2 linked regions of the Diceros bicornis minor genome follow. The protein of the gene in region 2 purifies or fractionates together with the protein of the main gene of each other region. This does not show direct contact. Links are inferred from orthologs where the notes say so. Each region holds a gene or a part of one and is shown on either strand. Other genes may lie near its edges.

The links.
Region 1: the proteins of ITGA3 (region 2) and CD9 purify together in Homo sapiens (affinity purification with western blotting; 3 studies listed by BioGRID and IntAct, with this or other methods). This does not show direct contact. The link is inferred for Diceros bicornis minor from reciprocal best matches to the Homo sapiens genes ITGA3 and CD9.

Annotation. Positions count from the first base shown.
Region 1 is NC_080756.1:55,468,869-55,484,977, forward strand, and holds the start of CD9 (CD9 antigen), read right to left. Parts: upstream 7,210-16,109; 5' UTR 7,109-7,209; coding exon 7,043-7,108; intron 1-7,042. UniProt on the Homo sapiens protein: Integral membrane protein associated with integrins, which regulates different processes, such as sperm-egg fusion, platelet activation and aggregation, and cell adhesion.
Region 2 is NC_080757.1:36,214,291-36,230,362, forward strand, and holds the start of ITGA3 (integrin alpha-3), read right to left. Parts: upstream 8,692-16,072; 5' UTR 8,371-8,691; coding exon 8,165-8,370; intron 1,023-8,164; coding exon 895-1,022; intron 582-894; coding exon 502-581; intron 1-501.

The sequences.
Region 1 (16,109 bases), on a different chromosome or scaffold from region 2:
CAGCAGACTACCTTTTTTTGTGTGTGTGAGGAAGATCAGCCCTGAGCTAACATCCATGCTAATCCTCCTCTTTTTGCTGAGGAAGACCCGCCGTGAGCTAACATCTATTGCCAATCCTCCTCCTTTTTTTCCCCCTCCTTTTCTCCCCAAAGCCCCAGTAGATAGTTGTATGTCATAGTTGCACATCCTGCTAGTTGCTGTATGTGGGACTCGGCCTCAGCATGGCCAGAGAAGCGGTGCGTCAGTGCGCACTTGGGATCCGAACCTGGGTTGCCAGTAGCGGAGCGCACGCACTTAACTGCTAAGCCATGGGGCCGGCCCCTATAGCAGACTATCTTTTAAATTAAAACACCAAACTTCTATTGACTTGAAAAGCAACGAGTCCACAAACTAAGTATGATTTTGCTGATCTTTTCATTTAAAGCTTTAATAAATCAAGCACATTATGTATTATGCCATTGATCCAATCAATGTAGGTTTAAAGATAAATTAAACTAAAATGCTATAGAAATCTGTTTTGAATTTAATAAAACCGTCTGATTTACTTTATCGTATTTTAACCCAGTCAAGGATGTTCTCCTCTGAGCCATGTCTTGTGTGGTTTCTGCACTCGGACACTGACATGCAGCTCAGACTGGGAGTAAAAGCAAGGAGCTGCCTCCTGAGCAGTTTGGAGGCAAGGGCCTGGGAGGGAGAAGTCATGGGCCATTGGCCTGGCCGGGCCAACAGGTGTTCCCTGGAACCTTAAATATGCGTTGGGTAAGCCTTGAAGGGTTACTTTCCTACAGAGCCATTGTTTCTGCTCCCTTGTACAATGCTTGGCAAGAGGACTGAACAAGGAAGACTTATTGACTTTTTCTCCAAGTCAATAGTCCCCAAACCTCTCTATCCAGGAATATTCTCTGGAATCAAAGAAATCTGGGCCCCTCTCCAAGTCAGACGGCTTCATCCTCCCCTGCTACTTAACCAGGCCGCATACCGCTCCTCAGGAGTCCAAGTCCCCGAACTACCCCCAGGAGACATTTCTCCCCTTCCAAAGCCCTCAGAGGCAAGGCCAGAGAAGGTTCTAGTCTCCATTTGGTGGGAAGGAGGAAGAGGGAAAGACAGAAATCTGCCCTTCCCGAACAAAGACAAATCCCCAAACTATGGGGAAACCTAACCCAAGAAGCAAAACTTGTCTGGAAGCTCATTAAGTTGGATTTTTCGTGTGGACTAGAAATACAGAACACTCATTAAATTAATGGAGAGTCAAAGCCACTCCTTGGGCAATGATTAAGCTGAGAGTCAGAGCAAGGCTAGGCGGGGAGGCCAGCTCTCCAGTCGGGGCTGCTCTTGATCCGAGAACTTTCGGTTCCCTAATGCCTTTCTCCAAGGCCTTCCATCACTCCCCCATGCAGTCCCGGGGGAGTGGTGGGGCAACCGGCTTCTCATGGAGAAACACGGGATTCAAGACAAGAGCATGGGTTGCCTGGAAACCAAGAGACAAAAACCAACATGGGGTATTTATAATGTGAGGTCCATGCGCCTCCAGAAAAAAAGCAAAAAAATGGGCATAACATGTTTCTGGAGGCAGGTCCCATAGATTTCATGGGATTCCCTAGAAAGGTTAAGATCCACAAGTCGAGGATCAGAGCATACAGTACTTAAAAACTATCCAGAACTAAGTACTTTTTTGGTGGGGGAATTATTGGATGGAGGTAATTATTATAAAATTATTTCATCTGGAGACAGGACGCTGTTTTCCACAGCTGCATGCCATCACTTGTTGGAAAAGGAAAATGTCCCTGGACCAGCATGACTTTTTCCATAGGATGAAACAGGCAAGTGATCGGCAGTCAGACTTCACAAACATAAATTAAAAAAATGTATTGTTAAGATTAGCCCTTTGGTCTCCTGAATTCCTCCAGCTGCAAAGGATACCTTGGGGTAGTGGAGAACACACCCCGAAACAATGAGATTATTGCTCTTCTGTATGTAAAAGAGGTAAAGACCGTTTTTCTGCAACGCCTTGGTTGAGAAGACCTGTGGCGGGTCCAAATAAAGTCCCACTGACCCCAACCTGGGCGAGGGAGGAACACAGAACATACATATGCAGCTTCCTGAAACTTCTCCACTCTCCTCTCCCCAACTCGACATAGGTTTATCTAGAACATGCAGCCACCAAGGAGGCAAAAGGACCACAGAAGCCACGGTGACCGTGACCTCAGGTCCCTTACCCTCACAGCCAGACACACCCAGGAGAGACAGTCCAAGTTTGCGTTCTTTAGAAGAAAAGGTGCTTCTGTAAGTCCAAGGTGTATTATTAAGTTCCAAACTGTGCGGCTGATTCCAAAAGCCATGCCTCCTTATAAAATGGAATCAAACAGGAAAACAGACAAATCAAACACGGCACACCCAGCTCTGTGTGTTAAGAAGGAAGATTCACATCTGACACAAAACGAAGATGTGAGAACACTGATTTGCGAGATCCGAGGCCACAGAAGACTCATTTAGCAGAGAAAGAGCTCTGGCGAGGATGGCGTTCCATAGGGCCACTTAACAAAGCAGGTCCAAAAGGGGATGGTTTGGAATGGTGCCGTGAAAAGAAAGGGTAGAGTGTGTGTGTGTGTGTAGAGGAACCCTTTCCCTCCCCCAGATCAGGAGTCAGATCTTTGTTGTCCACAACCACTGCAGAGAAGAGCAGGGGAGAAGCCATGAACGTTGTGGGCAGGGAGAAGTCCTATTTTCCTTAGCAGATGCAGACACCTGGCCTCGCCTCACCTCTCCGCAGACCTGCCAGCTTCAGCACAAACACAGCCGGCCTTCCCAACGCTCTGGCTGTCCGGTGGCCAAAGGTGGGGAGCCATTTTACACAACAGCCCAGCTGCCCGCTCAGCGCCACGGTGAAGGCAAACAGCTTCTGGCTGAAGCAGCAGGCTGCGTGGGAGGGGCTTTGGCCCCCCCTCCCCCCCGCCCCCGCCCCAGTCCATACTCTGCCCAGACCCAGAATCCTGAGGTCTTAGGGTTTCTTTGCCGTGTAGTTTTATTTTCGGAAGTGGAGACGCCCCACAGTCAAACTTGTAGCCACACATGAAATGGAGCCAGTGTCCTGATGTGGGAAGGCAGAGGCGGGGTGGAAGGAGGCTGGCAGTACAGCAGGAAGAGAAGGACAAGGGAGCAGCATGTGAGGATTCGGGGTGTGCTCCTGGCTACATCTGTGGTTCAGACTTCCACCCTTCTTAGGGAAGAGCTCCCACCATCCTCACCGATCTACTTCCAACTGGTGAATAACAGCAGCACCAGCTGGACAGTTAACTCCGCACCTAGTACTAGGCTACTGTGCTAAGTGCATCCCATCCTTTCTCTCATTCACCCTCACAGCAGCCCACGGGGCGGACACCAGCTCCATTTAGTGATGGGGAAATCGAATCCGGAGCTGGTGCTCTGACCATTGGGCCGTACTACCCCAAATGGCTGAGGGTGATGAAAAAAGAGAACCCCCAAACAGAGACCTCACTCTGGGTGAGTAGAGGGAACTGTGAGGTTAAGAGGAAAGTGACGCAAGAAGCAGACCCCAGAGGTAAAGGTCAAATGATGCCAACCTCTGAGGACAAGCCTCAGTACCCACTGCACATTTCTATTTCCTGGCTCTTATTGTGGGTTGTGTGGGGAGGTCCCATCGCTGTAGGCAGTGGGGGTAGGGCTAGTTTCGTAGACTGAGCAGAAGGGAGCTTTTGAGACCATTTGCTTCAATCCATTGGTTTTACAGATGAGAACAAAAGTGACCTGCCCAAGGTTTCAAAGTGAGCTGGGGACAGAGCTGGTGTGAAACCTAACATCAGGTCTCTGAATTTCCAGTCCAGGTCTCTGCCCACGTTTCCCTGAAGCCTCCATTAGGTCCAGGAGGCACCATTTCTTGGGAAAGAGAAATCCCCTGCTATTTCCATCAGTGAGGGAGCGTGAGGGGTGAGAGGCAGGGAGCAAAGGGGCATAGGGAGGTGGGGGTAGGAACTTGGCCCTCAATGCAGGCCTAGGATCTGAGAGGAAGGGGGTAGAGGATAGACACGTTCCTGACCTGGCCCTAGCACCGGTTCCCCACTTCACAGCCTGAGACTCTACAACTCGGACATCAGGAAGATGTTTTCCCTCTCAACCCTTTTTGGGGGTGGGTAAGCAGAAGGTCTGAAGGAAAGGCACAAACAACTGAATCAGAGCTGGGAAGTCAGGGTTCCGGGGTGTTGGAAGAGCAGACCAGTTGCTGGTTTGCTGTGGGCATCAGAGGCCCTGCTTGGGGAGGGCAGGCAGTGCAGGCTCAGCCGACACTCAGGGTCCCACAGGGACGAGAGTGGGGGCCAGGGAAGAGGTACGCCCCATCCCCAAGCCACCCTGATCGTCTCACTGCCACTGAGGTGGGCTTCCTCTCTCTGGATCCCTGCTAGACCACCCTTCTCAGCATCCTCTGCTCATGAGGTGCTAGTGGCCCCCAGACTCACAACTCCTGGTTTTCAAGGCCCATATCAGGTCCCAAGTGCCAAGTTTATAAATTCCTGGTCTCAAGAGAGAAAGGGAAGTGGTGACTTCATAACAGTCCAAGTAGTTCCCTTAGATCATAGATTCCCTTAAAAGATATTTTTTGAGATTGTTCTCACTCTTCTTCCTTTCCCGCCCAGCTGGGCACGGCAGCAGGTTGTGATGGAAAGTGCGCTGGACTTGAAGCCAAACAGACCTGCCTTCAAACTTACTTCTGATGCTATCCTGCCCCAGGACCCTGGATAAGTCACTTAACCTCTCTGGGGACTAGTTTCCTGGTCATCAGTAAAATTAGGATAATGCTTCTTGCTCTGGTTCTATCATGGGACTTGGAAAAGGACTCTGCAGACTGTAAAATGCTGCACAAACAGATGATGATATTTCTTTATTCCATCCTCTAGCTCTAGAGGGCTTCATCTCTACAGGGACCTTAATCCAGAACTACTGAACAATAATTAATTCAGGAAAACGTAGCTACTGCTTACCCCCCTACACCAGCCCATTACCAGGACCCTTGTTGGTTTCATGATGGAGATGGAAGAGGACAGGACTAAAGCAAGGGGCCAGGGGCTGTAGCATTGGCTCGGTCTCTGTGATCCTGGGCAAGTCACCCCCTCTCTGGTTCTGCTTCCTCACTGTGAAGAAGAGGGCTGGACTGGATGATCTCTAGAGTCATTCCTAACTCTACACCCAAACATCCCCAGAGTGAGTCATTTCCATTTCATAGCTGGTCACCTAGCACCCAGCCCAGGCAGGGGAAGCTCGAATCCGGGTGGGGTGGCAGGTTGGAGATGGTAAGAGACTGAGCAGACACCGGCGTGGCCGTGGGAGCCTCCCATCAGGCTGGTAGTCTGTGCTTCCCTGCAGCCCCAAACCCTGATGCAGCCGAGGCACATAGCTGAGCACTAAGCAACAGACTGGCAGGGGAGAGACTGCTGGGAGGGGAGAGGAAAACTCCCTAAAGGACGGGTGGGGAGGGCGGGGCCAGCCCACCCTCCGACATTCTTTTCTGTTGCGCTGCCGGGGGCTGGTGAGGAGGAAGCGCAGCCTGGCAGCTCGCTGGCTGGGGCTGCTGGGAACACCAGGAGGGTCTCCCTAAAGCAGGCCAAGGTTGGGCGGGGCACACCTGCGTACCATTCTCACCAGAGCATGTGTTGGGTGTGGTTAACTCTTGCAAGGAGAGGTCAGTTTCTTACTCCGTCAGCTCCAGAGAGAGGATTAAATCAGGAGATTTGCCCCGAGGTCTGTGGGGACCCCAGTGACCAGCTCCCAGACGAATAAGTACATTTTTTTGTTACAAGCCTCTGGTGGCATGCCCCTGTTCCTACAGCCACCTCTCTTGAGAGTGGCACAGGGGCTGCCTTTCCCAGCTCCTTCTCGACTGCGGAGAGGCAAATACTGTCTATCTGTGTGCAGGGGACGTGGCCCTCAGAACCAGGACACAAAGGTCCCCTAACCACCCCAGGGGAGGTGTGGAGGGGACACTCCCCTTTCCTGCTGCCCTCCTCAGGCTCCCCATTTGCAGAGAGGCTGAGCGTGGCCAGCAGCAGGAGTCCTGGAGCTCCCTGGCCTGGTGTCCTCTCCAGGTGACCGTCCTCTCTGTGGCCCGGCCTTGCTGCTGGGTGGGCTGGCGGGGAGGGGGTGAGGCCGGAGGCCCTGGGGCAGGCACCTGATCTCCCCAGGGAAATGGAGAAACACAGGACTCATCCCCCAAAAGGCCCCAGTGGGCACCCGCCCCTCTTCTCCCCAGCTCTCCCGGAGTTCTCTCCAGTTCAGATACTTATCGCCCCTGAAAAAAAATCAAGACAAGCTAGTCTTTCAGGTAGTTTCGAGGGAGCTCCCACTTTCTCACAGCGACTCAGAAGCAAAGTCTGAGAGAATGCGGGCCTGAAGGTTCCTCCTCAAGGGTGGAGATGGGTCCCCGACTCTCACTCAGGGGCTGGGTCCCGAGGTTCTGACCCCGCGGCCGGCCCGCCGCTTCCTCTCCAGTGCAGAAGTGCCAGCAGGTCTTAGCTGAGCTCTCCCTGCCCCACCCCACCGAAGTCCCTTGGCGCGCCCGCATCCTTCCCTCCTCGCGGCCCTGCCACTTGTGAGACCCCCACCCCGCTCACAGTCTGCCCTGCCCACCCCAGTCCTCCTTGCCGGGACCTTGAGTTCCCAGAACAGGGGTGCTCCCTTCTCCCTGGCGCCTTCCCCTGCTGCATTCGGAGGGGTTTGGGGTGGGAGTGGCCACAAACCCCATCCCAAACCCTCGGTGAAGGAGAGGCCCGGGACCTGTCCCCAGACTCGAGCTCACCAGGCCCCCGTGGCCCCCTGCCCACTCGGCTTCGAAAGAGGCTCCTGAGAAGGTGCCCGCCTCGCCCGCCCCGGCCCTGGCCGAGGAGCCAGCTGGCGGCCGCAGTGCCCATTCTCCTCCCGCCCGAGTCTACCCGGCTCGAGCAGTGCCAGTTACCCGGGCCCCCGACCGCGCACGGGGTCCCCAGGGCGAACAGGTGGCCCCGGAGAGGAGCGCGCGGCAGTCGCGCTCACTCACCCAGAAAACGAAGTTAAACCCGAAGAGTAGGTATTTGATGCACTTGGTGCCTCCTTTGACCGGCATGGTGCGGGCTGGACTGGTCGGGGCCGGACTAGTGCGGGACGGGGGCGCGCGCGGCAGGGACGGGCGGGACCGGGATTCGGACAGGAGGTGCTGGCGGCTGCAGGCTGGCCTCCGGGCTGCACTTTTAAAAAGTGCCACTCCTTAGGGCGCGCGGCCGGCAGCGGCGCGCATGTGCCGTGGACCCGCCCCCGCCGACCCCGCCTACGGCCCCACCTGCCCCGCCCCGGCCCGCGCCCCGCCCCAGCCAGGTTCCCGGGGACTCAGGCCCCAGACCCCTGCCCCCGAGCCCACCCTTCCTTCTTACCCCTTCTGCCCTCCGCTCAGCCCTCTCCCCACCCAGTTGGCCGTACCCTCCTTCCCGCCATCCTCCCCACCGTCCTGGGGTCTTTCCAGACCGCCACCCCTGCTGCTTTTACCTAGGAGTTATATGGAGGCCTCGCCCTTCCGGTTGTCGCCTTGTTGATTCTGCGCTTTCTGCCCGAGCCCTCTACTGCGGGAGACCTTCCCTGGGTCGCCGGGGTCGTCCTGTACCCAGGGCTGCGGCCTGCAGAATGAGGGCTCTTCTTGCTTTGGCCTCCATTTGAAGGGAAGCTGTCTGGCTTTATTTCTCCTTGGGACAGCTCCTTGCAAACCCTCGCTCATCGAGTACACTCTTATTTGGCACATCATAGGGAGTAGGAGGAATTAGAGGCGTGCGGTCCGGGTGGGAAGATAGGTGGGAGGCTTATGGGAGTAATTCTCAGATACTGATCACGGAGTAAAATACGCCGAGGGTCGGGCAGTCCGAGAGTGCCTCCCGGACTTGTGGTTTAGATGCCCGGAAAGGGGAAGAGATCTCTGCACAGCCCAGCGGGGCATGTGGCATGTGCCGTGTGCCCTCTGGCCTGCTGGCCCTCCCCTCTTCACTTGCGGAAGTTCTGTGGCTCCTTAAACATTCCTTTCCTGTTTCACACCAAAGGATGAGGAGATTTCTTCTTCTTTTGAAGTCCCAAAACCTCTCTGTATTTTTTTCAAAATGAAATTTCATTTAGTGTCGTTATTACAAAAGCAAAACCTACTCGTTATGAAACATCAGAAAATATCAATAGGGGCCGCCCGGTCGCGCAGCGGTTAAGTGCACACGCTCCACTGCGGCGGCCCTGCCCGGGATTCCCGGGTTTGAATCCCTGGTGCGCACTGACGCACCGCTTGTCCAGCCATGCTGTGGCAGCGTCCCATATAAAGTCGAGGAAGATGGGCACAGGTGTTAGCCCAGGGCCAGTCTTCCTCAGCAAAAAGAGGAGAATTGGCATCGGATGTTAGCTCAGGGCTAGTCCTCCTCACAAAAAAAAGAAAATATCAATAAACAAAAAGAACAGAACTCAAAATTTCAGCAGTGTAGCTCTTATTTTGCTCTGTTTATTATCATCGTTAGATTTGTCTTACTGATTCGTTCGTTCAGAAACATTTTCCAGTAGCCGCTTATGAGAGTATACCCTTAGGGGTAGGAGGTGGTCCTGTTTCTGCACTCTAGGAGCTTGCAGTCCATGGGAGAGGGATTCAGGCAGCCAGACGATGGGATGCGGGTGCTCTGTGGGTCATAGAGATAGGCTTGGGGGTCTGGGGGGCTAAAGGAGGAGCTTCAAACTGGGAAGCAGTGCTGCAGAACCAGAGGGAAGGGTGTTAGAATCACAGGAGAATCTTAGGCAAAGGCTGGAGCTGGGGCTGGCTGGGGTCTGGGCTGGAGCTCACAGCGTGGGGAGGTGTGTGGGGGGTGAAGGTGGGGACCTAGCTAGGGATGAGGTGAGTAGCCCTGTGGTCCTGGACTTTGCACTCTGAGGGGAGGGGCCCCTGAAGGGTCAAGCAGGGCACCCGTTTAATTAGCTGTGTGATTTAGGTGGCTCCCTGCCTGCACTTTAGGTAGCTGGGCGGGGCAGGCAGGAGGGGCAGGCAGCAGGCCCCTTGAGGATAAGGACCATTGTTTGTGTCTCCAGCACTTGGCTCTGAGCTGCAGGGGATTAGACTGAAAGTTGAGGTGTTGTATCTGGGGACCTGCAGTTGGGTAACGTGAGGGAAGCTGCGAGAGATGAGAGGTGAGCTGAGGACGGTGTGGAGATCGGCTAGGAGGCTGTTGAACAGAGAGGAAGAGAAGTGAATTTAAGTGGGGCAATGGGGCAGAGGGTGGAGAGACTGCAGCTGAACCAGAAGAGGGGACAAGGTGTGTGTGTGCGGAGGGGAGGGAGAGACCAGAGTCAGAGCAGCAGGAGCCAGATTATGGAGGACTTCATTCATTTGTTCTTCTTCTAACGTTTCTTGAGAGCCTATGATATGTCATGTACTGTCTGTATGCTGAGATGAAATGACCTCTATCCTTCATGGAAGAATCTCAGTATAGGCCAGAGAAGTAGCAGCCCACGGGATCTTTTCGAGGGAGATGTGCCTTGGGAACAAGTAGGGGCACAGAGGGCGTCCTCAAGTCTGCCTGAGTCAGGAGAGGCTTCCTAGTGCAGGGGACACGGCAGCAACTGACTTTGAAAGGCGAGGTCAGCTGACAAGGCTGGAGAGGGAATTCCAGGCAGAGGGAACTGCATGTGCAAAGGCACAGATCGTGAAACCACAGGCCGCTGATGGCGCTGGGGAAACTCCAGCAGTGGGTGAGATAGGAAAGGAAGGAAGATGAGGAAGGAAAAGCAGAGAAAACAGGGTTCCCTTCAGTTTCCCTAATGTTCAGAGCCGCCAAGCAGAGGATTTTGGTAATGCTTCACCTTAGTCCGTCACTCTGATCCAGTATCCACTGAGGACAGCTGGGGCACCACAGTGTGAGCACTGGGGGGAGGGAGAAAAACAGACAATGTCCCAAACAGACAATGTCCCATTGTGCTGCTCTTGGCGGTCCACCGGTCCTGGGAGAACAGATCTAAGGAAAGAAGAGATTTTATCTCTTGATATTCTCCTCTCTGCCCCCAGCCACACCATGAACAAGCACAGGTGGGAGGAGTTCAGTAAATATGTAAGCTTACAACAGAAACTGCTCCTGGGTAATTGTGAGTATTGAATGAAGTAATCCACAAGGAGGGCTTAGTACAGCGCCTGCCACAGAAGTGCCCAAGCAATGTGGGCTGTTGTTACTGTTATTATCGACACTCAAGAAACAACTGGGGGGGCCTATAGTTAAGCGGCAAATTAACACACTCAAGAGGGTCCTCCTAATGTGAGTGAGGAGACCTGAGTTCTCTGCTTGGTCCTGCCCTTTGGTTTATTATGGACAAGTCAGCTCCTCTCTCTGGCCCTCAATCTCCTCACCTGTACAGTGAGCATCATTTTGCCTTAGAGATGTCAAGGTCCCCTCAATTCTGACATTCTGTGGTGCAATAATCCTCTGGGCCAAAGTGTGTTTGTTACAGGCATTTAGTTCTACAGGCAACCAGGAAAGGGAGAGATGGAAAAAACATGGTTTGCTTTAACTGGAAGGGGAAAATCTGGGTAAGCCCCTGAGTCAGAGATCACATGGAGGCAGTGAGCGCTTCCAGGCTTTGTGGTGCAAGAGTGGGAAAAGTTTTCCTCCCTTCCCTCAGGGTGTCCTGTTTCTGGAACAACCCCCCTCTCCCTCTCCCAGCCCCTATGGGCTCAGGCTGAGGGTCCACTTTGGCTCTTTTGCTCCCCCTGGTGGTAAGATTTCAACATGCAGGGGCTAGGTGAGCTAATGACTGGCCACACCCATCGCCCTGGGGCTGCTCATCCCTCAGCTGTGGGAGGCAACAGGCAGGACCCACACCCCCCAGGCCTCTAAGGCCCTCCCAAGCACCACACCAGTGGCCATTTGGGGCGTGTTTTCTCCTTGATGCTGCTGCAGCATTTGACCCTGCTGACCATCCCTTCTTAATAGACACTTCTCCATCCGTGTCCCTGGTGCTATACCATCTTGGTTCACTCCCTTTCCTTCTGGAAATTTCTGTACTGCTCCTCTTACTAAGCTCAAATGCCACCCCTTCATGAAGCCTTCCTTGAACACTCCAGTCTTTTCCCCCATGGAGGGCCTTGTTGGAATCTCTCTCGTGTGCGACTCATTGAGCTTCATCACTTTCTCTTGTGTGCACACATTTTGGCGGTGAGCTCCTCGAAAGTACGCTTGCATTTGATTAATTCTGTGTTCTGCATAGCACCCAGGCCCTTGTAGGCCCTCTGTCAACGTGTGTGGAAAAACCAAGGGAGTGGCTCTTCCTCGGTAGTCCTTGGCCCCTGCTCCCCTCTCTCAGCTCTCTCACTAAACTCTCGTCCCCTCTTGATCCTCCCTCCATTTGTCTTTGGAACTGACCTCTCCCTAAACTTGTCATGATATCAGAGGGCCTGTTGTCATTTCCACTTTACTGGGCCCCCGAATATGCCCATGTCCCAGTTCCTGAAATCCACGAAGATGCTACCTTACACGGCAAAGGGGATTTTGCGCGTTTGATTCAGTTAAGGGTTTTGAGATGGGGCAGGGAGCCTGGATTATACTGGTGGGCCTGATCTCAAGAGTCCTCCTAAGAAGAGGCGGGAGGATCAGAGCCAGGGAAAGAGATGTGAAGGTGGAAGCAGAGATCCCCGTGATGCGGGCCACGTGCCGAGGAACGCAGGCAGCCTCCAGAAGCTGGAAATAGCAAGGAAACAGATTCTCCGCTATGGCTGCCAGAAGGAACCAATGCAGCCCTGCCAGCTCATGACTTCTGACCTTCAGAACTGTAGAATAATATGTTATTTTAAGCCACTAAAGTTGTGGTAATTTGTTACAGAAGCAATAGGAAACTAATATACTTATCTCAAAATAAACATCAGTATCAGAATTCCTAATCCGCGAGGGCCTCCCTACCCTGGAAGCCGACTTCCTTTCTCCTTAGCCCTCCCACTCTTCCATCAGTCAGCACCGAACGTACCTCACCTGTGACTCCTTCTCCCCGGAGTCCCACACCTGCTTCGTGAATGTGGTCCTTGCTTCCTAGTGTCTCTCATGTCGCTGCTGGGAGGTACCAGAGAGGCTGTCCAGTTTGAAGATGAGGAAGCAAGTCTAAGGCAGGAGACAGTGATTTAGTGGCTGAGGAAAGATCAGACCTCAGGTCTTCTGATTCCAGCCCCGTGTTAGCTTGTCAGCTCTCATTCCTCCTACTACCACCCAAGATGGGGGCCATGTCTTTGAAACTCTTCTTCAGCCCAAACGAATGTCCTCCCCTCCGTCCTTTCTCCCTGTCATTCTCCCATCCAGTCTGCACACAGCACTGGACTGTCTGTCCATGTCATTGGGCTTGGGCAGTTCTACTCTCACCCGTAACTTCTGTTCGTTGCATTAAACGCACGCATAGTCCACGTGGAGGCCACCTGTGTAGAGTGAGGAGTTTATGAGGATTTCACGGAGAGGTGGATGAGGGTTGACAGCTCACATGACAGAGAGCACCATTCCAAAAACCCCTTTTGGATACGTCTTTCTTCAGACTTCCATTCTGTGGCGGCCACTCTTGCCTTGTGTCCTGCCCTCCACCCAGCCCTGCCAGCCTTCTGGCCCTCGCTCTCCTGTCCTGGAACAAGGTAGCTGTCACCTAGCCTTTCCAGTTTGTATTGCCGTCTCCCATTACCCCAGCTCGGCAAAACAAGTCACAGGTCTCAGGAGCTGTCCTCTTTAGAAGACTGGGGGTCAGGAGGCCTTGTAAGTAACTAATAGTTAATATCATCCTTTCCTCATACTCCTAAAGCTTTGCTCTTTTTTTTTTTTTGTGAGGAAGACCAGCCCTGAGCTAACATCTGATGCCAATCCTCCTCTTTTTGCTGAGGAAGATTGGCCCTGGGCTAACATCCGTACCCATCTTCCTCTACTTTATATGGGACACCGCCACAGCATGGCTTGACAAGCAGTACTTCTGTCTGCGCCCAGGATCTGCCTACGAACCCCGGGCCGCTGAAGTGGAGCATGCACACGTAACCGCTATGCCACTGGGCCGGCCCCTGCTTTGCTCTTTCCTCCATTTCTCCTGCTCAAAAACCTCCCAACTCCTCTTACTTTTAAATTGTTGGACGTAGCACTTACCACCCTCTAACAGAGTGGAGCATTTTCTTAGTATGTGTCTTGTTTCTTGTCTGCCTCCTCCCACTAGAATGTAAACTCCACTAGAACGGGCAGTTTTGACTGTCTTGTTCCCAGATGGATCCCAGTGCCTTGAACAGTGCCTGACACACAGCAGGTGCACAATAAATACTTATTAATTGTATGAAAAGCTAATGTCCCATTCTAAGATTACCATAAAAGCCCTCTGGTCTCTTGTCTTGTCCTATATTTACAATTCTGCACCCTCTCTTGGGACACTGCATGCACTCTCGCATCTATGCCTGGGCTCCCACCTCCCCTAACCTCAGCCCTGGCCCCTGGCCCGTCTTCCTCTCTTCTCCCCCTATATGCAGCCTACCCATCTTTGAGGCCAGCACGGCCCCTGCATTCCCCAGCATCCTCGGTCATCCCAGTCTACTCTGACCCTCCCTTTCAGTGCTCCTGTAGCAATTTCTTTCTGATTCACCCACTGGTCTCTGATCAGACGTTGTCCTAGGTGGTTAATTTCATGTTTCTTTTTAAATTATTTCCCCAGTCAGATTATCAGCTCCTGTAGTATCCACAGTAGGTACTCTGCAGAAACTTAATAAAAATAAGTCAGAGAACTAACGCTGGAAGGGCACATATGATGTGCCAGATGCTGTTCTAACTGCTATATAGGAGCTCATTTAATCTGCAGATGACCCTGTGAGGTTGATAGTCTTATTATTTCCATTTTACAGATGGGGAAACTGAGGCACAAGGAGGTTAATTAACTTGCTAGGAAGCAGCAGAGCCAGGATTTGAACCCAGGTGGTCCAGCTCCAGAGCCCAGGTGCTGAACTACCTCTTCATGGGGTGAATGGATGTGTTAACACTGGCGCTACTCTTTGCCTTTCTTGCCCTTTGATTGTAGAGGTGGTTGGCGGGGGGCTGCAGGTGACGCCCCAGGGGTTGTGCCATCTTGAAGGTGCCTCCCAGCAAACTGACTCCCTGAATCTCAGGGGCTGACAACAGATGGTGAGTTTGCACCTTGGTCCTGCCTCTGCTGGTGTCTGTCCTTCTGAGCCTCCCCTTCCACAGCTGAGGAGAGGGGAGAATTACTGCTTTTTCTCCACCATATGGAGTGGGGATGGCTGCTGACTTCTGTTCTGGGGGGTGGTTCTGGATTCAGGAGGAGGACCAGAGGCTGGACACAGGCTCCTCCTAGAGGGGCAGTGTGTGTGTGTGTGTGTGTGTTAAGACCTGGGACCTTAGTATGTGGATTCAGGCAGATATGGGCAGGTAAAATATAGTTGAGATGAACCTGAAGGTAAGAAGCTGTCACTAATGTCCCCCTGGGGCCTAGGGGAGGGCTCAGAGGGAGGGAGAATATTGCCATGGAGTCATTGCCTACAGATCAATGAAGTCTGGACCCCACTTCGTGGCACAGGATGCCCTTGGTCATCTGGCCTCTACTGCTACCGTCACCCGTTCCCCCTTCCGGCACCTTAACTGCTCTAGACAGTTTGCACTACATTCCTTCTTTCCTTCTCTCTCTTTCTTTCTTCATAACCTTTTTACTTTGGAATAATTTTAGGTTTATAGAAAAGTTGCAAAGATAGTACAGCTTCCCCTTATTAACATCTTATATAACCATGGCATATTTGTCAAAACTAAGAAGTTAACATTGGGACAATACTATTAACACTGCAGATTTTGCTCAGATATCGCTTAGAGTCAATTTTTCCACTAAGGTCCTTTTCCTGTTCCAGAATCCAATCCAAGATCCCACATTGATTTACTCCTTTGATTCCTTTTAATTCTCTGAACTCACTGGGCTCATTCCCATCTGTCTCTCTGCCTTTGACCCTGTCACGATCTTTGTCTACAGTAACTTTCCTGTTCCCAACAAATTCCTATTCATCCTGCAGCAACTTCTCTTTTAGATCAGGGATAATGTGAGGAACTTGGTAGGAGTGGGGTTTGGGGATCCGCCTGTTAGCAATATTATTAAGTGGGGAGAATTGCCACTCTTCCACACTCAGGATCTGCTTTGACTCTCATTTGGATTTTATGTATCCTTCTTTATGCAAATTTGAGCAAATACTAATGTGTATTGTGACTCCCTCCCTGCTCTCCCAGCCACGGTTATTCAAGGGGATGTGTCTACAGGTCACTTTCACAGGACAGTGCAGGCAGCTGGTGGCAGATCTAGAAACAGAACTCAGTCTCCTTACTTGCAGTTTCATTGGCTCCCTTCATCCTTCAAGATTTACCGTCTCCACTTTCCTCTGTTGTCCAGTCCGGGTGTGCTTTGCTAGAACACTTGGCTCAGTGTGTTTGGTGGTGGGTTTCCTGTGGTTTCTCACCAGTCTGCATTGCATCATCCTTGACTTGGGGGACTTTCCTCAAGCTGCTCCAGGCTAGACTGTCGCTGGTGTCCCCACTACCCTTCCACCCACCACTGCCAAGCAGGCCAGGAAAGCCCCCAGAATGCCAGACCCCTGGGCTCCCGGACTCCATGCACCACCTGGGGCTTTGGTGGGGCCTTCTGCCCCCTATCTTCTCTGCCCCCAGTTCCCCACTGCGGGGGCTGCTTTCTCTCACCCACCACCCTTTGGGGCCTTTTGAGAGCTAACTCTTTGTGAAGCTTTAGATTTGCATTTTCTTCTAAATTTAACTTTTATGTAGGTCATTCATTTACATGATTAAAAAATTATTAAAAAAAAGTTTTGTGGGCAATTAGGGAAATTTAAACAGGGACTAAGTATTAGATGATATTAAGGAAATATTGTTAATCTTATTAGGTGTGATGATGGCATTGTGGTATGTTTTTGAAAAAAACGCTATCTCCTGGAGATACGTACTGACATTTTTATGGCTGGAGTGACGTGATGTCTGGGATTTGCTTTAAACTTCTCAGCCCCTTCCCAAAGAGCGAGGAGATAAAGGACACTCGAATGGCGAAGTGGTGGTGATAGTTGATGC
Region 2 (16,072 bases):
GGACAATTGAGACCCCAGGGGCTGGCACTGAAAAATGCGGGAAGGGGGTGACAACTGACAGCAGGGAGTGGCCCCCAAACCCAAGCCGGGTAAGCTGGGGTCAGCAGGGCTGGGCCTCTTCCGCCAGCCAGCCTCCCAGGAAGGAGCGGGCCCAGGCTGCACGCCCGAGGCTCTTTCTGCCCTTTCCTCCTCCAGCTCCCTCAGCTGTTCCCACGCAGGGTGAGCAGCCAGGGGGAGGGGGGGCGCGGGGTGGGGAGGAAGTGGGTGATTCAGACAGAACACAGGCCATGCCGGGCCTTGGGAGTGTGCTAGAACCCCCCTACAAGTGCAGGATCGAGGGACACACATACCCGTGGAGACAGACAGCCACGGAAATGGACATTTGCAAGGTCCCAGCTCACACACTGAGGACCCCTCTCCTGCCCTCTGCTTCCCTCGCCAGCTCCTGGGAGATGAAGGAGATGGCTGACAGGGGAGAGCTGACAGTGAGTGCCCACTCACCAGGACTCTGCCTGCAGGGCCCTGGCTGGCCACAGTCACTCCAAGCCACATGTCCTCAATAATGTGATGGCGAGGGTCACCTGTGGGCATGGGAGGGATCATGAGTCAGGGTACCTCACCCCGTCCTGGCAGTGCCCAGAGCCCCCAGAGGGCAGGGGTTGGTCCCCCTTGGACCCTCCACCAGCAGGGCAGCCCTCCCTTCTCCCCTTCTCCAGCCCACCGTTCATCTGAGCTCCCAAAATCCCATATGATCCCACTCTCCTCTAGGGCTCCGTCTTCCCAGCTGGACAAGAAGTGACTAGAAACTGCCCAGGCAAGCCTGATATCTCCTCCAGGTCATTCTCTCTGTGCTACCCCGTCTACGAAGCTCCCAACCTGGCACTTTCCCCTCACTTTTCTCCACGATGTCCATCCGCTCACAGTCGTCCTTCTGGGCAGTGAGTGGGCACAGGTACACGGCACCGGTCCGGTTGGTATAGCCATCAGGCACGGCGAGGTCCCGGGGGGCACCAGCCAGGAGCCTGGGGGGCAAGGAGGTAGGGGAACCCGGGCTCAGACTCTCCAAAGCCCACTTCAAACAACTTGCTGTTCAACATGCATTTACTGAGCATCTGCTCTGGGCCAGGCTGTGTGTCAGGCTCTGTGCCAGGCTCTGGGGTCAGGAGATGATGAACAGATTGCAGCCCCTGCCCACCAGGAGTGCCCAATGTAGGGGAAGGCAGGCAAGGAAGCTGACCCCTGCAGTCAGTGCCTCATGAGAGGAAAGTAGGGAGCAATCCAGCCCAGATTCAGCATGGGGGGCAGTGAGGGAGGCCCACAAAAGAGGGGGCCCAGTCTGAGTCTGAGGATAATGACCAGGGCTCACCAGGTGAAGAAGGGGAAGAAGGGCACTTCGGGCAAAAATACGGCATGTGCAAGGGGCAGGAAGCATAAGCAAGCAGGGTGACTCAGGGATCTGAGTCAAGGTGCCACTGGAGTCCAGGAATGTGGGGAGGGATGAGAGGGCAGGGTGGGAAGGGCCTTGGGGAGCCACAGAAGGATCTGAAGCAAGGGAGTGACACGGGCAGATCTGGGTTTTGGAAGGAATGCTTTGGCCTCTGAGATGAAGGTAGACCAGAAGAGAGCAAGACTGGAGGAATCCTGGCACAGGTTCCCACCTCTGGGGAGCCCAAGGGGAGAACGTCTGATGGGTAGGGTGGAGTGGGTTGTTGGGGGCCTGGGTCCTTCCTCTCTAAGCCATCTGAGGACTTAGATCTAGGAGGCCTGGGTCCCTAAGTGACCTGGGTGATGTTTACCCCCTGCCACCACCTTGAGATAGGCACATAAGGAATGGGGCGGGGCTGGGTACCTGACACTGCACAATGTGGCCCTCAGGCAGAGTTCCAGGAGGGCGGGCACGAGAGTGGGGATGGGCAAAGACTATTGCCTTGCTCCCAGCTGGCCCATCTTTAGGGACACCGACTGCAAGTCCTACAAGGGTGCTTAGGGCCCTGGCAACCCATCCCATTTGAGAGAGGTGACTAGAGGACAGGAGGGCACGTTATCAGCCTTGAAATATCTCAAAACACAGTCCTTGGACCACCAGCATCAGAAATCCCTGGGATATTTGTTAAAAAGGCAAATTCCTCAGCCCATCACAGACCATCTGAATCAAATCTGTGGGGGGAGCCCTGGAACCTGCATATTTAACATGCATCCCCAAATACCATGCATTCTAATTTGAGAACCTAGCTCTACCCCGTGCTCTCCCGGCATCATCTCCCTGCAGCCTCTGGATGTTCTGCCAGGACCTCCTCCTCGATGCAGATGGACCCAGCCTCCTGGTGGCAGGCACCTCCTAGGTACCCCTCCGTCTGGCCCCAGCAACACTATCACCCTGAGGCTCCCAGCTCAGAACCTGGGCTCTGGGCCTCCTGCCAGAGTCTGAAAGTGCAGAGCAGTGGCCCCACCTGCAGCTCCGGCCTGGGACCTGTGAGGGAGCATTGCAGGGAGTGGGCAGGGCAGGGCCTGGGCATGCCGGGGCCTGGGGTGCCTCCGCCCACTGGGTGTCAGGAATGCACTGCCTGAGGGTTCCGGGAGTGGGGCGGGACCTCTGCCTGCACCTCCCAGCTCAGCACAGACCTCACCCTGGGGAAGTGTTCCTGGGGGCAGGGGTGCAGCTGCTCCACGCAGAGCAGTGCTAGGAGTGCCAGCAGGAAGGCTGGCAGGGGGCCAGTGTGGCAGCCAGGCCGGTTAGTCACCCTCTGTCTGGGCTGGGGAGGGTGCTTGGTGAGTCCGCTGCCTGACCACCGGTGGATGTCCGTCCCTGGTGCGCCTGACAGGTAAGCCTAAGCGCCTGGTTATAGGGTTTGTTCTGCCTAAAAGGGCAATTGCCTTTCTCTCTCTGAGCTGTGAATGCCTCATCTGTAAAATGGGGACAGCAGCGGTCCTGCCAGCCTCTGGAGCTGGTAGGGGAACAAATGGCTTCATTCTTCAAAAGGCCTTTCTGACTATGAAGCCATGGCCAACGTGAGCACTGTTGTTCTGATTTCTTGTAGCACCACAACTGGCCCTAGCACACTCCCAGGCCTCTCTCCAGGCACCCAGGAATTTCTGCCCCACCAAGTTAGGGAACCTGCAGCAGAGGGCAAATAGCAGACTAGTTCAGTGTTCAGAGGGAGCAGATGATGGGACATAAGTAGCACTTCTATGGCCTAAGTATACCAGGGGATCACTAAGGTGGGGGTGGGGCACTGGCAGGTAGAGTCATTCTAGGGTGGGAGCTCAGATTTGGCTGGAGGTGGAGGCTGGGCGTTGGCTACAATGCCTTGAAGGGGTAGGTCCAGGCCTCAGTGGGCGAGGGGTCTCTGGGGAGCCCAGGTTGCATTCCAGGGCGCACAGCGCAATGGAGGTGTTGCTGCCCTGCCCAAGTTGTCAGGGCAAGAGGTGGCCGTGCCCTCCCAGGTCCCTCATCTCAGAGGGAGTTGGCTGAAGGATCCTTCCTCCTAGCCTCCTGGGGTAACTACCGAACAGGCAGAGCTGGGCATGAGTCACAACTGGATTGAAATAAATCCCCTTAGCATCTATACTCTCTCGGCCCTCGCACCACACATACCCACTGATGGATGGGGAGGCAGGGCCAGTGCCCTAATCCCAGCCCCACATCCCAGGCCCCTCCCTCCCCAGAGATTCCACAGGGAGCCCCCACCAACCCCTCTGGAGTATTTTTAGCTCCTACTTGGCCTGCTCAGAGGCCCTTTAAGGCCCTCTGGCTCCCAGCCCGGGATCCAATGGGTCCACAGCCAGAGGACTGCGAGTGGATGGGGGAAGGCGGGTGTGCAGAGAGCCAGGTCCAGCTTCCAGCCACAGCCAGGTGTGGGGGAATCCAGAGGGTGAGAGAGACCTCACTGGTATTCCAATGCAATGTAAATTGATATGCAGATGAGCACATCTGCTCTCTGCCATTGGGTCTGGTCCAGATCAGACAGTCCAAAAGCTGACCCCTCCCAGACCACCACGGAGCCCACCCTCCTAGCAGCAGTCAGAATGGGGAGGCTAGGTGGGATACTTTGCCTAGCTCTTGAAGCTGGGCTGGGGGCGGGTAGGGAACCCCTCTGGGAGGTAGGGGGATGGGTGAAATGACCTTTCAAGGACTCTCAACAGCTGCCTCTTCATCCTCTCTTTTGCCTCCAGCCAAACAGCCCCTCCTGGCCTCTGGGGAGCCCCCTGAGCTCCAAGTTCCAGAAAAGTACTTCCTCACCCCTGCCCCATCCCTCTTCCCGGGGCAGTTCAAAGCTAATGGAACAGCCAAGTAGAAAGCAGTAGTCGGAGGAGGGTGGGAATGGGGGCCAGGGGTGTCAGGGCACCAGGTTGGCTCACCCCAAAGAGAAGAGGCCCCCTGGGGTGGGTTAATGCTCAGAGAAACAGCCTGTAAGATTCAACTTCCCAGACTCCTCAGGGAGGTGCTGGGGTGGCTCCAGCGGGAAGATTTCAGTTAACTTGGTTGGGCCCAGAGGGCCCAGTGCTCAGGCCAGCGGGCCCCCATGCCTTACTCCCCCACCTCAGGCTGGGAAGCAGGTTGGGGAGGGGCCGCTCCAGCTCTGAGACTCGGGGTGCTGGTGGGGGCCCCTCTCAGATGCCTGGATCCTAGCTCTGTGCCAATCCTGCTGCCCAAACTAGCCATCTCCCCAGAGGCTGCTCCTGTGGTAGCTGAAACTGCAGCCCTCTCCGTCCTCCCTACTTCTCACGCTGCCCACCCAGCCCCCTCTCCCCTTGGTGACTCAGCCCTAGAAGCAGAGCAACAAGCTGGAGGAAGCGAGAGAATGAGAGAGGGCGAGAGAAAGAGGCCTTGGCCCAAGCTTGCGATACAAAAGAAAAAGGCTGTTTTTCTTATTTCTTCTCCCTCTCCCTGGCTCCTTAGTATTTTTTTCATATTTGATCCCTTAGGGTGTTCTTCATGTTATCTAACCTCAATCCCTCTTACTGCAATGGACATCCTCTTCCCCCTTTGTTTAGTTCTGAGCAAGTCCCTTTTACTTCTTTTTCTACAAGATCAGGCTTCTCCTACCTCCTGCCCAACTTAAAGCTCCTTGGCCTGGACTGGTCATTGGAGAGAGCCAGAGGAAAAGGACACTACACATGCAGGCCTTCCGCCTGCAGCCACAACTGCTATGCCCATTTCCTCTGGCACGAGCCTTGGAGGCTGCCAGGCGCCTGCCCTGCCCAGGGAAACATGTTTTAGGAGAGCACAGCAGGTAAGCCTGGTTCCTGCCTACCTCAGATATGACCTCATCTTCCAGGAGCCGCAGCCACCTCCGCCCCAGGCTTCCAGACACCCTCATTTCCAGGTAAGGGTGAAGGGGATGGGGGTGCCCCAGAGGTGTCTCCCATAGCCCACAAGGTCAGGCCAGACCAGGATACCTGAAGTCCCAGGAGGGAATGACAGAGCAGGTGCTGGGGGCCGGGGGGTCGGTGACCATCTCCCAGAGAAACAGTCCCTCTCTTCCCCAGGGGTCCTCATGCATCTCATCAAGAACCCCAAAGCACCTTGGTCCTCTGCCCTGCTCCTCACCCCTCACTTATAAAGACCGGGAAATTGGGGCCTGGGTTAGAGTGAGCCTCCGATATTGTGGGCAGGGAACCCCAGTCCAGAGATGTAGGGGATGGGGAACAAAGAGGGTCCACACCTGGGTTTTTAACCATTTCTGGAATAAGGCCTTCTTTGACAATATGATGAAAGCTATGCTCTCCTCCCCTCTCCCCCAGAACAATACACAAACAAACAAGATTTTGCATGTAGTTTCAGGGGGCCCTGCATCTCCTGACAACCTTCTGTGAACTCCAGGCTCAGAGTTTGTTCAGCACCATGAACCCTCTACCTTTTCCAGAGAGACTTTGAGGCTAACAGAATATAAGACCACAACTTGACTTGCTGGTTCCCCCGAGCTGTGTACTCAGGCAGCTGTTCACATCTGGCTACACAGCTGGCTGCAGCTAAGCCCAGCTGGCCCAGCTGGCTCTCCCAAAGGGCCAAGGGGCAGGATTCAGTGAGATGAGGAGATAAGATATAGAACCATCCCTGGGAAAGACTGATGATACCCAAGAGAATGACCCAGAACTCTATCTAGAACTACCTGCCTCTCTGAGGTTCAGTAGTTTTAGAACCCTCTGGGCTCTTAGCAGGCCTAATGCCATCTCTAGCTGCCCAGGAAGAAAAGTAGAACTCCTCTGCTCAGCCATCTTGGGGGAGGCCCATGGGTAGCGAGAGTGGATCCAGGTCCTGGCTTTAGCACCAGAGCCCTCAGCTGCTCCTTGGAGAAGTAGGCACATGCAGAGCATTTTACACACATTACTTATTCAAGCCCCACTGCCGCCACATGAAGAAGGCGTGTTGCACTCCCCGACATGTGAGGCAATTAAGACGCAAGTATTAGTGACAGATCCAAGATGGGAGACTAGCAATGGGACTCTGGAGCCTCTTCTCTCTCCACGATGCCAAGTTGCCTCTCATAGGCCACCAGAGGTGGGAAGGAGCATATAGATCCAGGTCTAACCCTTTGGAGAAAACTGGCCAAGAGAAAGGAAATATCTCGCTCAAGGTCACATAGCAAAGGCGGGGAGCGGGGGGCTTGCAGAATCCATTATTTACACCAGCTTTCCAGTATTTACTCTGCTTTTCTGATCTCTTTACACTATGTTGCCTTATATCATGCAGATTCAGCACTGAAAATCTGAAGATCTTTTTCTGGAATGGGGCAGAAAGAGCACCAGTATAGAAACTTGTGCTGGTGGTCACCTAGGGTCTCCAAAAGATGCAGGGTTGACCAAGGCCAGACGCCAGCTGATGGGTCAGGCTGGCAAGAGTGTGGTGGCCCTAGCCTCTGCGGAAGCTAGATGGAACTGAGGCCAAGTAGGTAGGTAGACTGGGCAGGGGCTGGGCCAGCGGAGCAGGGGCCAAGGCTGGGGCAGAGTTTGGACTTTGGACATTCCAAGCTTCCTCAAGTTTCTGCAGGCCCCAGCCAGAGTTGGGAAAGGTTTCAACACACCATTTATCTGACCACGTCCTCTTGCTAGGCAGGGTTAGACACCAGGTGGGGGTTGATGTCTGGTAGTTCACTCAGTCCAAAGAGGTAGATGGAGCCTGCCTAACCTGTCCTAACCACCTTCCCTCCTGGGGCAGCCTCACCTCCCCCAGCTGCCCTCTTCCCCCAACTGCCAACCTCAGCACACTGAGCCCCTAGCAGAGAAACCTCTGAAACCTGGACATGCCCCTCTGGGCATGAGTGTGTATGGGGCAGGGGGGCAGGGACACAGCAGCTGGATGCAATCTCCTTCCCCTCTCCTCCTGTGCCTAGCTCTTCCCCTTCCTTCTTGCAGCTGTTGGGGAAGGAGAACAGAACAAAACACCATTTCCCTCTTCAAACCAAAACAAACACACTCAGGGTCGAAGATTCAACATGAATCTGTGGAATGCAGGGAAGATGACTAGTGGGAGGGCTGCACTGCTGGGGGCTGCTGGGGCAGGAGTTGGGAAAGCCCCTCCTCTCTCTTCTACTCCCTCATCCTCCAGGGGTCAGAGGGGGCGCCTGGACAGCTCCAAACACGGGGACTTGCCCATCACTTCACCCTCAACCGCCAAGCAGCTGAGAAGGCCCTCCAGTCTGGCTCTGCATGGGGTGTGGCTGGCATGGCCGCAGACTAAATTCAAGGTGTAAAGGCAGGGGTGGGCTAAATGCATATGCCTATAGGTTCTCCCCAGGAAAGGGGGAAGGTGGACCCACTAGGTGTTTATCTTACAGTTTTCTCCAGCTCCCAGCTCGGAGAGAAGAGGGGTTTGGTAGGCACTGGGTTCACAGAATGGGAGGGGGCTCAGGAAACGGCGACCCCACTTCTGCTCTCAAGAGAGGTTTAAAGAGCTGAGAGGCTGCGTCTAGACAGGTACTGCCCGGGTCAGCACTTGCCAGTGATTACTGCCCACCATCCCACACCCAATCCCTCCACTTCCCGCCAAGCCTCGGCAGCAAGAGGGCTGCCCGGGTCCCCGCCCCCTTAATCCTCGCTCACAAGAGCCGGCGGCCCGCGGGCCTGGAAGCCAGCGGGCCCGGGGCTGCGACTCAGCTCCGGATCCGCACCCTGCACACATACCCTCTCTGTCTCCCACCCCACCCCCGCCAGCCACACTTACAGGTAGCGCTGCTGCCGCTCCGTCTGCCGATGGAGGGCGACCGAGTAGCCAAAGAGGCTGCCGGGGTTCCCGGCCTCCTTCACCACCAGGAATCGGGTGTCCAGGTTGAAGGCGGAGGTGACGCGGCCGCCGGCGGCCACCATCAAGGCGAGCGCGCAGAGCATCGGGTGCTGCACGCGGGAGCCGTGGCGGGGGCCGGGGCCCATGGCTGCGGGCGGGAGCGGGGACCCGGGCAAGAACGCGTGAGGGCGTGGAGCTGGGAATGAGGACCTGTTCACCTGCTCCCCGCGCCCCCGCAGAACACACGGGCCGGCCGCGTCTTTGAGCCCCGCCGCGCTGATCCGTTTTTAGCCCCTAGCCCTAGTCAGCTTCACGTCCGCTCCGGGTCTGCGCTCTCAGATCCCCCCCTTGGAGGTCCGCGGTCTATTCTCCCGCCTGCCCTGCTGCAGGGTCACCGCCCCTCCGCCCGGGGCACCCTGCACCCCAGCTCGTCCCGGCCGCGCCCCCTTGGCCTCACTGTCGCCTTCGATCCGGGCTCGGCGGCGGATCTCAGCAGGCGGACCGGTAGACCGCAAGGAGGACGCGAGAGAGGGGTCCCCCCCCGCGCGCCCCGCCTCCCCACGCCCAGACCCGCACCTCCCCACCTTGCGCGCCCAGCCCAAGCTCCGCTTTCCTTCCGGGGAAAGAGAAAAGGTCCCGGCTCCGCCGCCGCCTCTTAAAGGGGCAGCACTGCCCCTCCCTCCTCATCCTCCCTAACCCGACTCCGCCCTCCCCCCCAAACACCTGCCGGGAGCCCCAAAAGGCTTGGATTTCCCCTCCCCGCCCCTTGCTTCTCCCCAGAAGCGTTGCCTCTCGAGCAAGATGGATTGGACGGGCGGGGCCGTGGGTGGGATTTGTCCGGCCGCTTTGCTGCGGCTGCTACTGCTGCTGGAAAGGCCGTTCCAGGCGCGGCCACTTCTGCCGGCCGCGCCGGAGAGCCCCGCCGTTGGCGCATCTAGGACCTACACCCGCGCGCCGCTGGCTAGAATGCCTGACTCGCCTCTGCCGCGCTGTGAGTCCCTGAGAGGCGGCTGGCCATCTCTGGGCGTTCTTCCTCGCGGTCGGCCCCTTCACTGCCCTTGTCGAGATTTCTTTCTCTTGACCACCCGCCCCAACCCACTCTGATCCAAGCTGGGAATGGTCCCTCAGCAAAGCCAGGCTGATATTTAGCAGTGGTAGTAATCAAGCATCGCTAATTGTAATTAGCAACAAGACACCGGTTTTCCCAAAGGTCTGTGCCTTCTGGTATCTGTTGATGTGGAAATGAGTCGCTTCTCAGAGTGCACTGCCTGGCCAGGGAGCTGGGCCCAGACTGGACCCATTTCTTCTCCACTCTTGCCTTCCGGGCCCAGCACAGCAAAATTTCAAAGGTCCCCTCCTCCCACTCAGGCTCAGACTGAGTGTTTGGAGACAGGGCGGTGACGGCAGCCCCCGCAGGTGTGTAGTCGGTGGCACCAGGTGGAGAAAGGTGGGCGGGGCCCAAAGTTCTGGTTATCCGCAGAAGACAAGAACTGAAAGGGACCTTCAAGAGGTCACTATGTACTTACTTTACCTCAAGTTTCCCTTATTGTAGCACAAAGACTCATTTCCCCTTTTCTCTAGGCTGAAGGAGCTTTCTTATTTAGGTCCAGCAGTTCAGCCCTCAGCGTTTACTCCCTTGGAGTTCAGTTTTGAGCTCCTATCTCTGAGAGTTTATAAGAAGAAGAAAACTACCATTTAGTAAGTGCTTATGCAGCAGCAACTATGCTAAGTGCTTTACAAATATATTAAGTTAAATCCTTATAACAATCTTTGAAGTGTTATCTCTGTTTTAAGATGAGAAAACTGAAGCTCAGGGAGGTTAAGCAACTTGGTGAAAGCCACACAGCTCGGATTTTAATCCTGTGTTATCTGACCCCAGGGCCCTTCTTCTTCTTTTTTCTTTTTTTTTGAGGAAGATTGGCCTTGTGCTAACATCTATTGCCAATCCTCCTCTTTTTTCTTTTTTCTCCCCAAAGCCCCAGTACATAGTTGTAGAGTTGTAGCTCTTCTATGTGGGACATAGAAGACGCCTCAGCATGGCTTGATAAGCGGTGAGTAGGTCTGCGCCCAGGATCCGAACCGGTGAACTCCAGGCCGCCGAAGCTGAACGCGTGAATTTAACTGCTACGCCACTGGGCCAGCCCCCATCTAGGGCCCTTCTTGACCACTTATGCTAATAATTAACATTTGTGCAATACTCAGCGCAGATCTAGGTTTGGTGAGGCCTGAAACTTGTACAATTTGGAGCCCTTGTTAAGGAAAAGAACAAAGAATTAGGCGTACAAAATTAGATTCAGAGCCTGGGAAGGGACTTGAGCCAAATTTTACAGCTTATGAATCATTTCACGTGCAGACTCTCATTTCATCCTCCCGGCCTCCCTGTGAGGTCAGGATTATCATCCCCATTTGACTTATGAGGGAACCTGGATGTCCAAGGTCACGCAGCTCACAGGAGGCAGAGCTAGGACTGGAAGCCACTGACCACAGCTGTGTCTTTAAGAGAGAAACTCTAGGCAGATGTTGGTGAGACAACTAGACATAACTAAACAAAACCAGCTGCGATAACAGCGTTCTCTGTGGTGTTTGGGGAGAGGACACTCATTGCTATCTGCCTTTACAACAGCATTTGTCCCCAAACTGTGACTCCAGAGCCACCCAGCCTCTCTCCATGGCCCACCTTGTGGCTCAGAGCATCCAGGGGTTAGGAGATGTCTGAGGTCAAGGAACAGGAAGCTGATCTGGATGGAAGTTGAATGGTCACCTTGCTCTCCTTCTGGCGGCTGCTGGGTCCTCCACCTTGTTCCAGAAGAAAGGGAGACAGCCAGTGCCGGGAGCTCAGGGGCCACAGTGGACACACTGTGGGCAAGGGTCCCGCCTGAAATAGCTTTGAGAGTCCTGTGATGACAGATGGGCTCCATGTCAGGCGTTATCTCTATGGCCATCCCAAACAGGAATGACCAGCATGTCCGATCCCGGGGCTGGGAGCAGGAAAGGGATGAGGGATGGTTTTTCCACTCCAGGGGAGTGTCCAGAGGGAATGTGGGCGCGGGAGCAGGGGTGCCTGGTAGGGGGAGGACCCAAGCTAAGGAATGTGGGGGAGTTTCAAACCTGGGGGAGATGGAAGGGGGGTGGAGGGAGACATGGAGACTGAAGGGTCTCTGGGCTGGAGAGATGCAGGAAGAGAAATCCCAAGTTCATGTCAAAGGTTCGAAATCCTCTGGTTTCAGTGACATTATCATCCACATCCTCATCTCATCCCTCAGTTGACTTTGTCATGTCAACTCTTCCCGATGCAGAAGGGACCTGCCTAGAAATGTAGACACGGAGAGAGAAACAAGGGCATGTGAATAACATGTGTGATGAGGAGTCTGAGTCCGTTTTTTGATGTTTGACAGCTGACAGCTTTGAAGCTGTCACCTCTCCCTCTTCCCCTTGTGCCTGCCACCTGGACAAGCCGACAGGAAAGCCTGGGTGCTGGGCTTCCTCCTTTGGCGTCCCTGGGAGATTCAAACCATGTAAACCCCTTCCCGCACAAGTACGCACCCCGACCTCACTCCCTAACCACAATAAAACCCCAGGCAACCTCCTTTCCTTGCTCTCTCAAGCCATTTCGGACCTGCTTGAGAGGCCGGCCCTGCTCCGCTAGAGACCTCGATTATGTAAATAATAAACCTTTTCAGACCCTCTTGGTATGTGTGTGGTGTCATCAGCCTTGACACTGAACCAAACCACAGATGACCACGACAACATGCAAACTGTGGGTTCTGCTGCGGGGTCAGGAAGGCTCCTTGGAGGAGGAGTATCTGGACGAGGGAGAAGGAAAGGACTAGGGAGAGGAAGCCTTGGGAGAGAGGAAAGCAGAAGAGTCAGGGCTGAGTTTGAGGTGAAGTTTTCCCAGTCGCGACAACGACAACGTCAAATATTCTGTAAAGGCACCTTCTATGTATTTGCACCAGCCTTCCTCTGCCTGTCTCCTCCGGCACGTGCCCCATCTCGCTGTCCCCGAGCCCCAGGCCGCACCACTTGCTCACTCACTTCTCACGGGAAGGTCAGGTGTGAACGTGACGCGCACAGGCAGCGGCTGGAGAGAGAGCGATGGAGTGGAATTGCGGTGCCAGGGGGGCGAATGCAGGCTATGTTCTGCCCTCTCATCCTGGGCAAGTTACTTTCCTCCTCCAGACCTCAGCTTCCCCATCTGTGAAATGAAAGGGCTGGAGGAAATCCCTCATTCTTCCTCAACCAGCATCCCTGCGTCCCAAGGCTCCTAATATTTGTTTAACTAAGTGGATCAAAGCTCTGCTATTGAAGCGAGACTTGGGTCTCTATCTCTGACTTGAATTGAAAATGCAAATGACTGAAGAGGGAGGGAGGAGGGCGGGGGGGGGGAGTGGTGAAGCATGAATGGGTTTATCAGATTTCCTTTCTCCTGTGACCCAGATATGGGGCTGGCAAGGCAGGCGCCTGGTCCAGGCAACTTCCCTGGCTCAGAACCTGTCAGCCTCAAGCATTCATTGACAACCTGCTTTGTACCAGCACAGGGCTGAGAACCCCTGGGGGTGTCAAAGATGACCCAGCGCATCCTCGGGAAGCCGGGGTTTCCTCCTGGCCTCACAATCTGAAAGCTCTCAAGTTTAAACAGCCTAATCCCACATTGCATTGTATTTTAGGGCTGGTGCTTGTGGGGCCGCAGGAGGGGCGTTAGAACATTTTGGGTACAATAATTTGAGCAAGCAGCGAGGCGGGCTGATCAGAGACAGGGGCAGAGGGAGGGAGGGAGAGGGTGAGTGAGAAGGACCCAGGGCACTGATTTGCCTTGGACTTCAGGTACAGGTGTGGTGGGGCATGCCAGGGGTGGGAGAGGGAAAGAGCAGAGGAGGCAGGCCCCAAACATCAGGAAACTTCCCTACCAGCCAACCCCACCCCACCCCCATCTTTCTAGTTCCTCCAACCCTCTCATGATCCCTTTGCTGCCACCCATGGCCTGGCCTTGCTGCACATGCCCTGCCCTCCTGGCTGGGAGATTAGGGCTCTGGTGGGCTCTACAGCATTCTCGATCTCATGCCAAGGTGGCCCCTTCAAGGTTGAGAGGCCATGGGGGCCCATGTGGTAGCCCCAGCTGAGCTGAGTCCCCAATCCCCAGGGCCCTTGCTATTTCCTGGGGAGATTCCTTTTTACCGGCAGGGTTCTGTGCTCAGGTGGGAAATCTGGACAGGTAGGGGGCTTCATCTACGCCCCCCACCCCTACTAACTCCCTAAAGACTCCACTAGGGGTGGAGGGCCATGTGTGGTTGTCCTCGGAGAGCTCCCACATGTATGTGGATTGGAACGTGGGTTTGTGCATGCGTTCACGCTTTTGCCTGTGTGACGACGTGTCTCTGAATGTTTTATGTACATCTGAATGTGGAAAGGGAGCAACATTTGTTGAGCACCTGCTGTGTGCCTGGCCTTCTACGTATGTTATCTTCTAGTAACCCTATGAAGTGGAGACATCCCCCACTTTACAGCTGAAAATACTGAGATGCCCAAGGTGCAAGGGTGTGAGTACCTCCACGAGGCACCCACCACCTCCCGTCCACCCCAGTCGTCTTCCAGGACACCACAGCTTAGAAGTCACATCTGCTGAGTGGAGTCACCTGTCTGTTGTCCCTGGAGTAAGGATCCTTCCCTTGCGTTATTGTGGCCCCTTCCAGCTCCCCAACCTGGCTTCAGCCCCCTCCGTCTCACTGAAGCCTTCTCTCCTTGGGCACCAGCCTCCTCTGATGGGCAGACCCAAAAGCTGTCTTTGGTTCTTTGCCCCCGACCTTTCTAGGGCAGCAGCAGTGACCCTGTGGACTGCCCTCTGCATTTAAACTCCTCTGCACCCTCTCCTGGCCCTCCTTCCTGACTGTTCCTTCCCAGCACCCTCGCCCCCTTGGTGAGACTCCTCAGCCCACCCTGGGCTTCTATTCACGGTCCTCATCCCTCTGTCTCCCCAGACCATCCCCTGTGCACTAGCATTCTCCTACACGCTGGGGACACCCGCCTAAGCTCCTCCACACTCCAGCCTTGATGTCCAACTCTCACCAGCCACCTCCAGCTGGCCGACCTCAGGCTTCTCAGATTCCGAGTGTCCAGAACCGGCTCAGCATCTCCCCCTCGTCCCCACAGCCTGCTCCCTGTAACAGCCTCTGCCTCAGTGCCTCGTCCCCAGCAGGATTACATGGACACACTGGGCCCAGTCCATGCCACTTGACCTTTGCACATGCTGGTCCCTCTGCCTGGAATGCCCTTTACCCCCTTGTCTGCTTGGAAAATATCCACTTGTTCTTTGAAATCTTTCACGAGTTTTCTTCCTTCACTCCTGCCCCCTGCACCTCTGCGTGTGCATGCATACACGTAGCCACTCTTGAATCTTCTAGGCCTTGCACTGACTTGTAGCCTGGACTTGTAGTGTGATTATAGACTGGCAGGGCTGTGACCTCGGACAAGTCCTTTCACCTCTCTTAGCCTCAGTTTCTCACTATAAATTGGACATTAACATACCAGACTCACAGGTTTGTTCAAAACTAACAGAACTGGGACCCAGGAGGGGCTTGCTAACTCACCGTTGATTACACCCATATTTCCAGCACCCGTGCCAGTCTCTCACACACAGTGGGTCTTCAACCACCGAGTGTCCAGCTGAATTCAGCCGGCCACATACTCTTTGTGGCCGTAAAAAAGGGAGCTCAGTTGAGGGGAGTGAGAGGCCAGCTCTGTCTCATAAATATCCTCTTGCTCCCGGCCCCTCCCCCACCACGGGATCCTGTTGGGACAAACGTCTTGGCTCAGTGGCTTGAAAAGGAAAGTCAGAATTCTGAGGCATGAATCGCTGTCCCTACTGACTCACTTCCTCCTCCCCGCCCGCTCTGGACGGCCAGGCCCTGAGTAACACAGGTTTTAGCCTCCTACCACCTCTTGCCCCTGTGCCGGCCTCTCCAGCCCCTCACCCCTGAGCAGCCAGCGGCAAGAAAAGCAATGGAGCCAGTTACCGCTGCCGATTTGAAATCTGCTTGCAAGTTTCCGCCAGCTAAGGAGTTAAACTACAATGCAGGGAGACACAAGCCTGCTCTCAGGACCCCGAGTCTGCTGTGCAAGGCAGGGCGTCCTTCTGGAATTTGACCTGGGAGGCAGCAGAAGTTGCCCTTCCTCATAATGGCCCTCTCCTTTCCAGCCCTGATCACCGAAGTTCTCACCATTGGCAACCCTCCCCTGAAACTTCCTATTAAGATGCAGGGACCCCTACCTGGCAGGGTATCACGTGTGCTCCCTGGCAGGGATGGGGCAGGATGTTACGGCATCGCCCACAGAAACCAGGGCCCTAGGGTGTAAATGACTCAGGCAGCCATGAATGCGGCGGGGGAGGGAGGGAAAGGGTGCTGGAGGGGAGAAGAGCTGGGACAAAGAGTAACTTAGTGGGGGTGGGTGGGGTGGGCAGAGGTTCCAGACGGGAACTGTTATCGTGATGGGGGCAACGATGAAGGAGATTTCACCTTCCTGTAAAATTATCCCCCAGGGTCTTGGTCTTTTCCCTCTGGGGGTCCCATCCCCACCTTTTCCTGGGCATCAGGGACTCCTCTGAGGGGAGGAGTCTGATGGCACTTGGGAGATGTCAAGGCCGTTCCCTCAGTGGCAGAACTGCTCTGGGCAAGGCCCCTGACAGGCGTAGATCCTAGGCAGAGTGAGGGCACGGCCCACCTCGACTGCTAAGAAGGGAACTCGGGGTGGGGATTGGGGGAGGCCAGCCAGATGCATTGGAAGGCACAAGGGGGCAGTGAGATGCAATAGGCAGGGCGGTGGGGCAGTGATCCCAAGCACAGCTGGCTAGAA